2 linked regions of the Ovis aries genome follow. The protein of the gene in region 1 purifies or fractionates together with the protein of each later gene. This does not show direct contact. Links are inferred from orthologs where the notes say so. Each region holds a gene or a part of one and is shown in the gene's direction. Other genes may lie near its edges.

The links.
Region 2: the proteins of CDK15 (region 1) and FKBP5 purify together in Homo sapiens (affinity purification with mass spectrometry; 3 studies listed by BioGRID and IntAct, counting the BioPlex papers as one, with this or other methods). This does not show direct contact. The link is inferred for Ovis aries from reciprocal best matches to the Homo sapiens genes CDK15 and FKBP5.

The regions. Positions count from the first base shown.
Region 1 is NC_056055.1:204,182,092-204,185,709, forward strand, and holds part of CDK15 (cyclin-dependent kinase 15), read left to right. Parts: intron 1-734; coding exon 735-874; intron 875-3,618. UniProt on the Homo sapiens protein: Serine/threonine-protein kinase that acts like an antiapoptotic protein that counters TRAIL/TNFSF10-induced apoptosis by inducing phosphorylation of BIRC5 at 'Thr-34'.
Region 2 is NC_056073.1:9,818,922-9,823,001, reverse strand, and holds the start of FKBP5 (peptidyl-prolyl cis-trans isomerase FKBP5), read left to right. Parts: upstream 1-1,225; 5' UTR 1,226-1,335; intron 1,336-4,080. UniProt on the Homo sapiens protein: Immunophilin protein with PPIase and co-chaperone activities. Component of unligated steroid receptors heterocomplexes through interaction with heat-shock protein 90 (HSP90).

The DNA.
Region 1 (3,618 bases):
TTAATTAGTGTCTGATTCCTCTACTAGATTAAGCTGCCAGAAGATAGCATTCCTGTATCTCCCAGATCTAACCACCTACATAGTAGTTGCTCAACTAATGGATTTGCTCTACTCCAAATTTATAATTCAGCATAAGGTCAACTTGAGGATTTGTCCTTACTGTAATTTGAGTATTTAATTATCTTTCTTGCTTATGCTCTATCTCCAGGGAAACCAATAGAGCATCTTAGAGAAAGCCCTGGGAGCTGAGCTTCAAAAATGCTGTAAACAAGGCTTTTTTCCCACTCAAGTTTCACCTTCCAGGATCTCTTCTCTCCTTCTTCCCATTCCAGAATTCTGTGCTCACCACCGTTGGAGCCTATTTCCAACTGGGCTTTTCTGCTTGCAAGGGGCTGCTGTATCCCTCAAAGAAAGAATCCTTAATTATATATTTCCGTTTCTATAATTACAATTTCCAGGTCTTTTATGTATACAGGGTACCCAGAGCCATGGTGGAGGGGTGGGCTGGGGGCTGAATGATGGAATGCTGAAGTTTTCCCTTCATCTTAGTCACGGGACAGGTAACAGTTTCAGTGTGGGGGTTATTTTTCCATTTCCATCAATTTTACTAGTCCCAGGAAAATTCTATCTGAAATTTTTCCAGCCATCTCCTTTTCTTTACTTTTCTTCTTTCCCTCTTGACTTTTCAGAAATGAGGCCTCTGGAGAAATTCTCTGTCTCTCTCACTTTTCCAGGCTGGGCAGGGCTCCTGAAGCAGAAGATCTGGCCTCCCAAATGCTGAAGGGCTTTCCGAGAGACCGTGTCTCAGCCCAGGATGCGTTGGTCCACAATTATTTCAGTGTCCTGCCAGCTCAGCTGCACCAGCTTCCAGATGGTGAGCGAATGAGTGTGTGTGTGTATGTGTGTGGTGGCTGGGGGTGGGGTATACATGGACACACATAAGTCTTGGTGTCTGTTTTCTTGAAGCACTGGAGAAGCATAGAATTTGCAACCAGAAACATGCTTAGAGCTGGGAAAAGCAAGATGGGACAAAATCTTGCCCAAGTTTTGTTTGTGGTTTTCTAAAACTCAAAAGCTGAGGGTTGAGGTGACACAGGCCTCCTTGTAACCATCCAAACATTTCCTCTATACACACACTTAGAAAGTAGAAGAGATGAAAGTTGCCTTTCAGTTTGCTTTCCCTAGCATCTGCCAGGAGAAGCCAAACCTAAGTTTCTAACAATCCCCTTTTCTCTTTCCGTTGAGTAAGATGATAGGTGACATGGATACAACAGGAGAGGAGAGCTGGGCCTGCCTTGATTGGTAATCTGATGCTGCCCGAGGAAGTGCGGGTGGGGCATGGTGAGAGGGGAGCATCCTCCCAGGCTAGATGCGCCCGGAAAGCACAAGTTACTCAGAAATCAGCCTTGCTGCCCAGGCCTGAAGTCATCCTCCAAATCTGAAAACTGCTGAGGGATCATGTGGCTGGAGCGCTCCTCATGTTTCTCAGAATGTGGCAAGGAAGGGCTGTGCGGAGGTTGTGGGTACTGCAACCACGGCCCTGGCTGTTTGCCTGGGACCCTCCTTAGGTGGGGTTGCTTTCAAAACACCCACCATTCAAGTGAAAACAGTTTTTAGAAGTCCTGAGCCAGAGAAAAGAAAGCTAAGGAAGGTTGTAGGGGCTCTGACTGAGAGGAGGGAACTGGGATGGGGTGTGGTCACGAACTACTGTCCAAGAGGCTCAGATATGGGGTCTGACTGATGTCTCCAGGATTTGCAGGCACAGCTCCATACCTGGGATGTGATTTTGCATCCGTCCAAATCTTTTAATTTGGGGTTTCTCGAGGTATTTTATTATTAAAGTGAGTCATTTAGAATCTCTAAAAATAACCGTAATCATACAACCAAGGTTAATGTCATACTTAACCCTGTAAGAAGAGTCGATCATCAGTATTTATTAAGTTGCCATTAAGTGTCAAGAACATATTAAGTGCTATAACATTTGAGGGAAAAAGGAGGCTTGTCCTTGACCTCAAGGAGCATATGAAGTGGGAGGAAAAGAGGGTGAGGAAGAGGAAACAGGACACCCTCGTACACATATTAGCACAAATCATATCTAAACAGCTAAAGTCTGTGCATAATCAGCTACAGATGTTCAGAGAGTACGTGTGCACTGAAGGCAGTCCTCGGAGGAACCGCTGTAGAATAACTCCAGTGAGACAGATGAGACTGGAGGTGACTCCGGACAGGAATTTGGAAGAAGGGGAGGGACACGGTTTGGCATATGGGTAGACTAAGAGACATTCCAGGCGACTTAACAATTCTTACTCCCTTCTTGGTACCTCCTCCCAAGCTTAATCCCCATCCCCCACTCCTATCTTAATACCCTCTTCCCAGTCTGAGCCCCAAGATTCCCCCTTCTTAGCCTTCTCCTCTTGAGAATGGGACTTTTCTAACTCCCACTTCACGCAAATATACACACTGAGGGTGCGCACACACACATTCACACCCTTTCTCTCCACTTAACAACATATCTCCCATGGAGAGACATAGATAAAGAAATAAATATAAATAAACCCTCCTCCAGGATTTATTATTCTAGGTCCTGAGAACTACTGAGGACCTTCAGAGTTTTCTGGGTGCCAGCTTTTCCTTTAGAGTAATTAGCAGGAAACAATCGCTGTGCAAACGGGATGTGTTTGTTAGAAACTCGGGTTTTGATTATTCCTGGTCATCTGAAGCAAAGTCGCCAACAGAGGGGCTCCATTGTACGTGTGTGTGCCTGTGTGTGCGTACACACGCGGGCACAGGAGAGGGACCCATCTGTATTCCTCCTCTGTTCACCCAGCCACAGAGCCCAAATCTACTTTGACACTTTTAGAAAAATGAAAAGATGGAATCTTGCAGGAGCCTGCCTGCGCTGAGGGGGGAGATGAGGAGTGCTCACAGCAGGAGGGAAGTTGACTTTTCTTTATACATATAGGGGTTTTTCCATGCAGAGTTTAAATTATGCCTGATAAAAGGAGTTTCGTGGATGTTTCAGTTCTTTCAAATTCTCCTGGCTTCCTCCCAATTAAATGAGGTTTGTCAAAGCCACAGGGCTCTGCTGCTGCTGCCTCGGCCGACAAGCACTTCCTGCAGCGACATCTCGAATCCCCAAGGGAGAAGATGAAAGGGCCAGCACCAAGAGACAGGGGAAGGGGGGCAGATTGTGTGTGTGTGTGTGTGTGTGTGTGTGTGTGCACGCGTGCACGCGCGCTTGGGGGAGGGCAGTGTGCAGAAACAGGTTTAGATACAGACTGACAGACAGGACGTGGACAAGAAGATGGGGAAAGCACAACTAACTACCAGGGAAACTGGAAAGAAAAATTGAGGAAGAGAGAGCAGCACTGAGGCCAGTTTGGGCACCCTGAGAACAGTGGCTGTCACCACGTGTGACATGATGTCACCATGTCTTCTAAGCGTGCCCTCTCTTGGCCTGGCAGTGCCAGTCTATGTTTTCATTGTTCATGGCAATGAGCCTTTATTAAGGGCCTCCTTTGCAGATAGGGTGCACCAACGGGTCCTCTCAGTTCCCAACCCTCAGGGACCCAGAGTCCCCATCCCAGGGGCGGGCTGCTCCAGGCGTAAGGACTGTGC
Region 2 (4,080 bases), on another chromosome or scaffold:
CCACTAGCACGCCACCTGAGAAGCCCCATTAAAATCACAGTAGATGCTTAAACGATTGGCATTAGTATGCAGAATTAATGCACAAATAAACTGTTTCAGTGACACTCTTTGGCATCTGGTAAAAAGGTAAGCTTCTAGGCCCTGAAGCAGGGCCTTTGCCCTCACTGAGGAGGTTTCAGCGTCAGCTCTAGTGGTTGTTTCTGCAGGTGGCACCTCTTGAAGGCAGGGATGGTTATTTGCAGAAGAAACTCTTCATAAATACCTAAATGACCCTAGGTGATATAGTGTTGAGGCCAGATGTGGAGTTAGGAGATGTTAGGTTTCAATAGGTGATTATTAAGCTCCACAGTTGTGGGACTTCAGGTTCCTGTTTCCTCAAGAATGAGATTGAGCGAGCCACTCCCTAAGGCCCAGGAGCTGCTAGCTCAGTCCCCTTCATCCCAATCTTGGTTTGGCCATTACACTCCAGGGGCCCTGAGCCCCCTCCTGAAGTCCAGCTGCTCAGCAGACCTACCCGTTGGCAGGCGGCAGAGAACACAGACATCTTTTAAGAAAACACAGAAATCCTCTGCTGTCTCAGTCACCTGGGATCTCATGTTTGAAAGGTAGAAGACGGAGGGAAAGCCTAGTCTTAACAGTCCCTGAGTGTCCAGAGGCAAGTGCTACGTGCTATGGTTTCTCCAGATGGGATTTTTTCCCCCCAGTTCCAAATGGACAATACCAGTTCCCCTGGTATTGTTTCCCGGGGCTAACCTAGCTTGCTTACCTGACGCAAACAAGCCTGGCCTGCCCCTCTCCTTCCGCGAATCAGGTCGGGTGGGCGGACAGGAGGGCAGAACTGTCAGAGAGAGGTCCCAATGTGAAGTCCACTAGCTTGCTTGGGCATTAGTTTCCCCGGAGGTAAGGGATGGAGTGAGGGGGCGTCGTTCAGTTTCCTCCCTCTCTTCCCTACAGCGCCCACAAAGGGGCAAGGGCCAGACACGTGGGCTGGCGTGGGGGAGGCGGAGGTTACACCAAGGCGGAGGTGCAAATGGCCGGGGGCGGGGCCTTATTTGCATGGACGGCGTTCGGCCGCCAATCGGGATAGGAGGAGCGACAGCCCGCGCGTCTTTTGGGGCGGACTGACAGCCCCGGGGCCCTATGGGAGGCGGGTCCTGCGGCCCGCGGGGGCGGGACTGCGCCGGGCGCTGCCCGGGGGGACTCTGGCCGCTTCGCGGGCGCTGCCAGTCTCCGGCGGCGGCGTCCGGCGCGCTGGCGGCCTGCTGGGCGGGCTGAGGGGCTGGCGGCGCGCGGCTGAGGCAGAGCGACAGAACGGGCGAGCCGCCACGGCGACAGGTACCGGCGCCATGGCCACGGGGGGGATGAGGCGGGGTGGCCGCCCGGCCCCGGGAGCCGCGTTCCCTCCTTCGCGGTCCTGCCGCCGCTGTGCCGCTTCCTCACGCGGCGCCCCAGCCCGGGAACCGCGCTGCGGGGCGGGCGGCGCCGAGACGCCTCGGAGCGGGCGCGCTGGAGGCGCCCAGGCTCCCCCGCGGGAATCCTCTGCGCCCCGCCGGGCGAGCGGGGCCGGGGCTCCCTTCGCCTCCGGGAGGCGCGGAGCCGGGCGGCCGCGGGAGCGGCTCCCCGCCCCTGCCGCGCTCTCCCTTGGGAAGACGAGGCCGGTCGCGCCCCGCTGGTCCTCACTCGGCTTTTTTTTTTTTTTTTGGTTTCCCGCCCTGGGTAACAGGTCCCGGCTCCGGCTCCTGTCTCGGCGGCCCCCGACTCGCCCGCGGCCCGGCGCCCGAGAGCCAGGCGGCCCGTGAGCCGCGGCCGCCGCGAGCGGGAGAGAAACTTCGGTCTCCCGGGCCCGGGCGGCGGGAGAAGTGGGCCGGCGGTGAGCCGTGCGCCGGGACGCATCGCGGCCGCGATGGAGCCTCGCTCACCTGGCGGGCCCGCCGAGGGGAGGGATAACGGAGCGTCCCGCCGCAGCCGCGGTCCCCGGCTTTCGGTCTGCGCTCCCGGGGCGGTGGGTGTGGATATACGCGTTCCCCGTCTTTCACCTGCCGCCCCGGGAGGGGGACCAGTGACTGGGAACACGGCCTCCCCGCCCTCGACTGCCGGTAAGAGGGGACCGGGGCAGCGCCGTTCCAACAGGTGATTATCCCAAGTGCCAGGTGAGAGCCACTGAAAAGTTGTTTCAGGGTTCGGTAATTCAGTTCTCCGGGGGCTTTGTAACGCCTTCTCCCATAATGATTTTTTTTTTTTTAAGGTGTGCTGACCGCAGTATAGGAGTCAAAAACTAGTATTGCTTGGGGTGCGGGGTGGGTGGGGAAGGTGGGGAGTGTCGCCAGCGGGTAGATTGCCTTCTTTCCATTGACTTGGCCGGGAGGAACATCTTAGTTTAAAAATCGGTTTCTGCAGTGGTGGTGAAAGCATGCATAGTAAGGTACAAGTTGTAAATGGAGAATGCAGAGCTCGAGATATCCTTCGCTGTGGTTCAGGACAGAGTGTACAACGTTTGGCCGCCATTCAGTAAATTCTGCATGAAGCAGTTTGAGCTCGTGGTTTTGGATTTACTTTACAAGAGTGGAATACGGCTTAGCTTTGAATGGGAGCTTTCTTTGCCTCTCTGAGGGCACACAGGAGTGTTTATTTTCATTGTCTTCTCGTTTTGTTAGATTATAGACGAGGGAAAAGTTGAGGCATATTTTGGTTCAGTATTTTTAATAGTCTATGGGAATTCTCCTTCACCCATTCCCCCCTCCCCCCGCCCCGCATAAGAGTATTTATTTTAAAATTCGAGGGTAGAGTTGAACAACTTTTTATTCTTGTGGAAGTTTTTATGTTATACTTCCACTTATTTTCTGTTTCTCTCTCTCTCCCGGCTGACCTCACTTAAAATCTACAGTTATGGCCCTGACCAATTTTAGAAAAAATTTAAAAATAATATATAATTATTCTAAAATATATTATGAAGGTTTAGATAACTCAGATTTTTCTTCTTATGTGTCTTTTTTTAAAATGTCTGTGCTGGATATGATTTGAATAAGAGATGTAAGGAACTTCTTAAGGACAGTTACACTTTTGATTTAATTATGTTACTTTATTAGTGCTTCATTGAATGGTTATTAGTCACATGTTAATTAGTAACACCTTTGAAAGGTGCACTCTAACCGATAGGCTAGTTGTGACTGTTCGGGATTTTTTTTTTTAATCAAAGATAGTTTTCATAAAAATTGTTTTGTTTTCTTGAAAACAACAGGCTTATCTGCTGTGAGTTCTTTGTCTTTCAAACATGACCATTTTAAAATATTGGATTAGGAACTAGTGAAGTCTTCAATTTTGTTTATTCTTGCATTGGAAAAAGAACATATTTCGGTTGTTTTGTTTCCTAAAGTCTTAGCTTAGAACAATCAGTCTAGAGAAGGAAGAACATTCTCTTTCTATAGTTGTAGAAGAAATTATTACTGTTGAAAGCTGAGTTGGCTTTTCGATGCTTAGTGAAGGTAGATTGAACAGTGACTTGTTCAGAGTGAGTTTTATTCTGTATAAGTAGTTCTGAGGAATCTTATGAGACTAGGGTTATGGGTGGTCTATATAATTGTTTTAAGTGTATAGGAGTATATTAGTCTAACTATTGTGTATAATTAGAAGTTTTATAGTTTTTATCTTGTGATGCTTAAATGTATCACATACCATAAATTAAAGCTATATTTCATAGTTTAATTTACAAAAGCATGTTTTGGGAACTTTAACTGTAAAAGTGCCTTTTAATTAAAATACTGTTTTCAAATTCAATTTTTACATGTTTCAATTACTGATTTCTGTCCACTTTTAACTTGTGGTAGACCGTATCGTAAAATGGTCAACCACATTATAGCTTCAAAATTAAATATAAGTTGAATTCTTACATCTACGTAATAAATGTTGGGAGTATTTTTAAGTCACTTACCCTCAGGTGTGGCTCCTTTTGAATTTGGGGGTGGGCAAATATTTTTGATTAAACAAAGCTACAGAAAAACAGGGACACATGTGAAACAAGCTACGTTTGAGGCTAAATCACACGATACTGTTAGATAGTAATACTTGTTTATTTAACAGTAA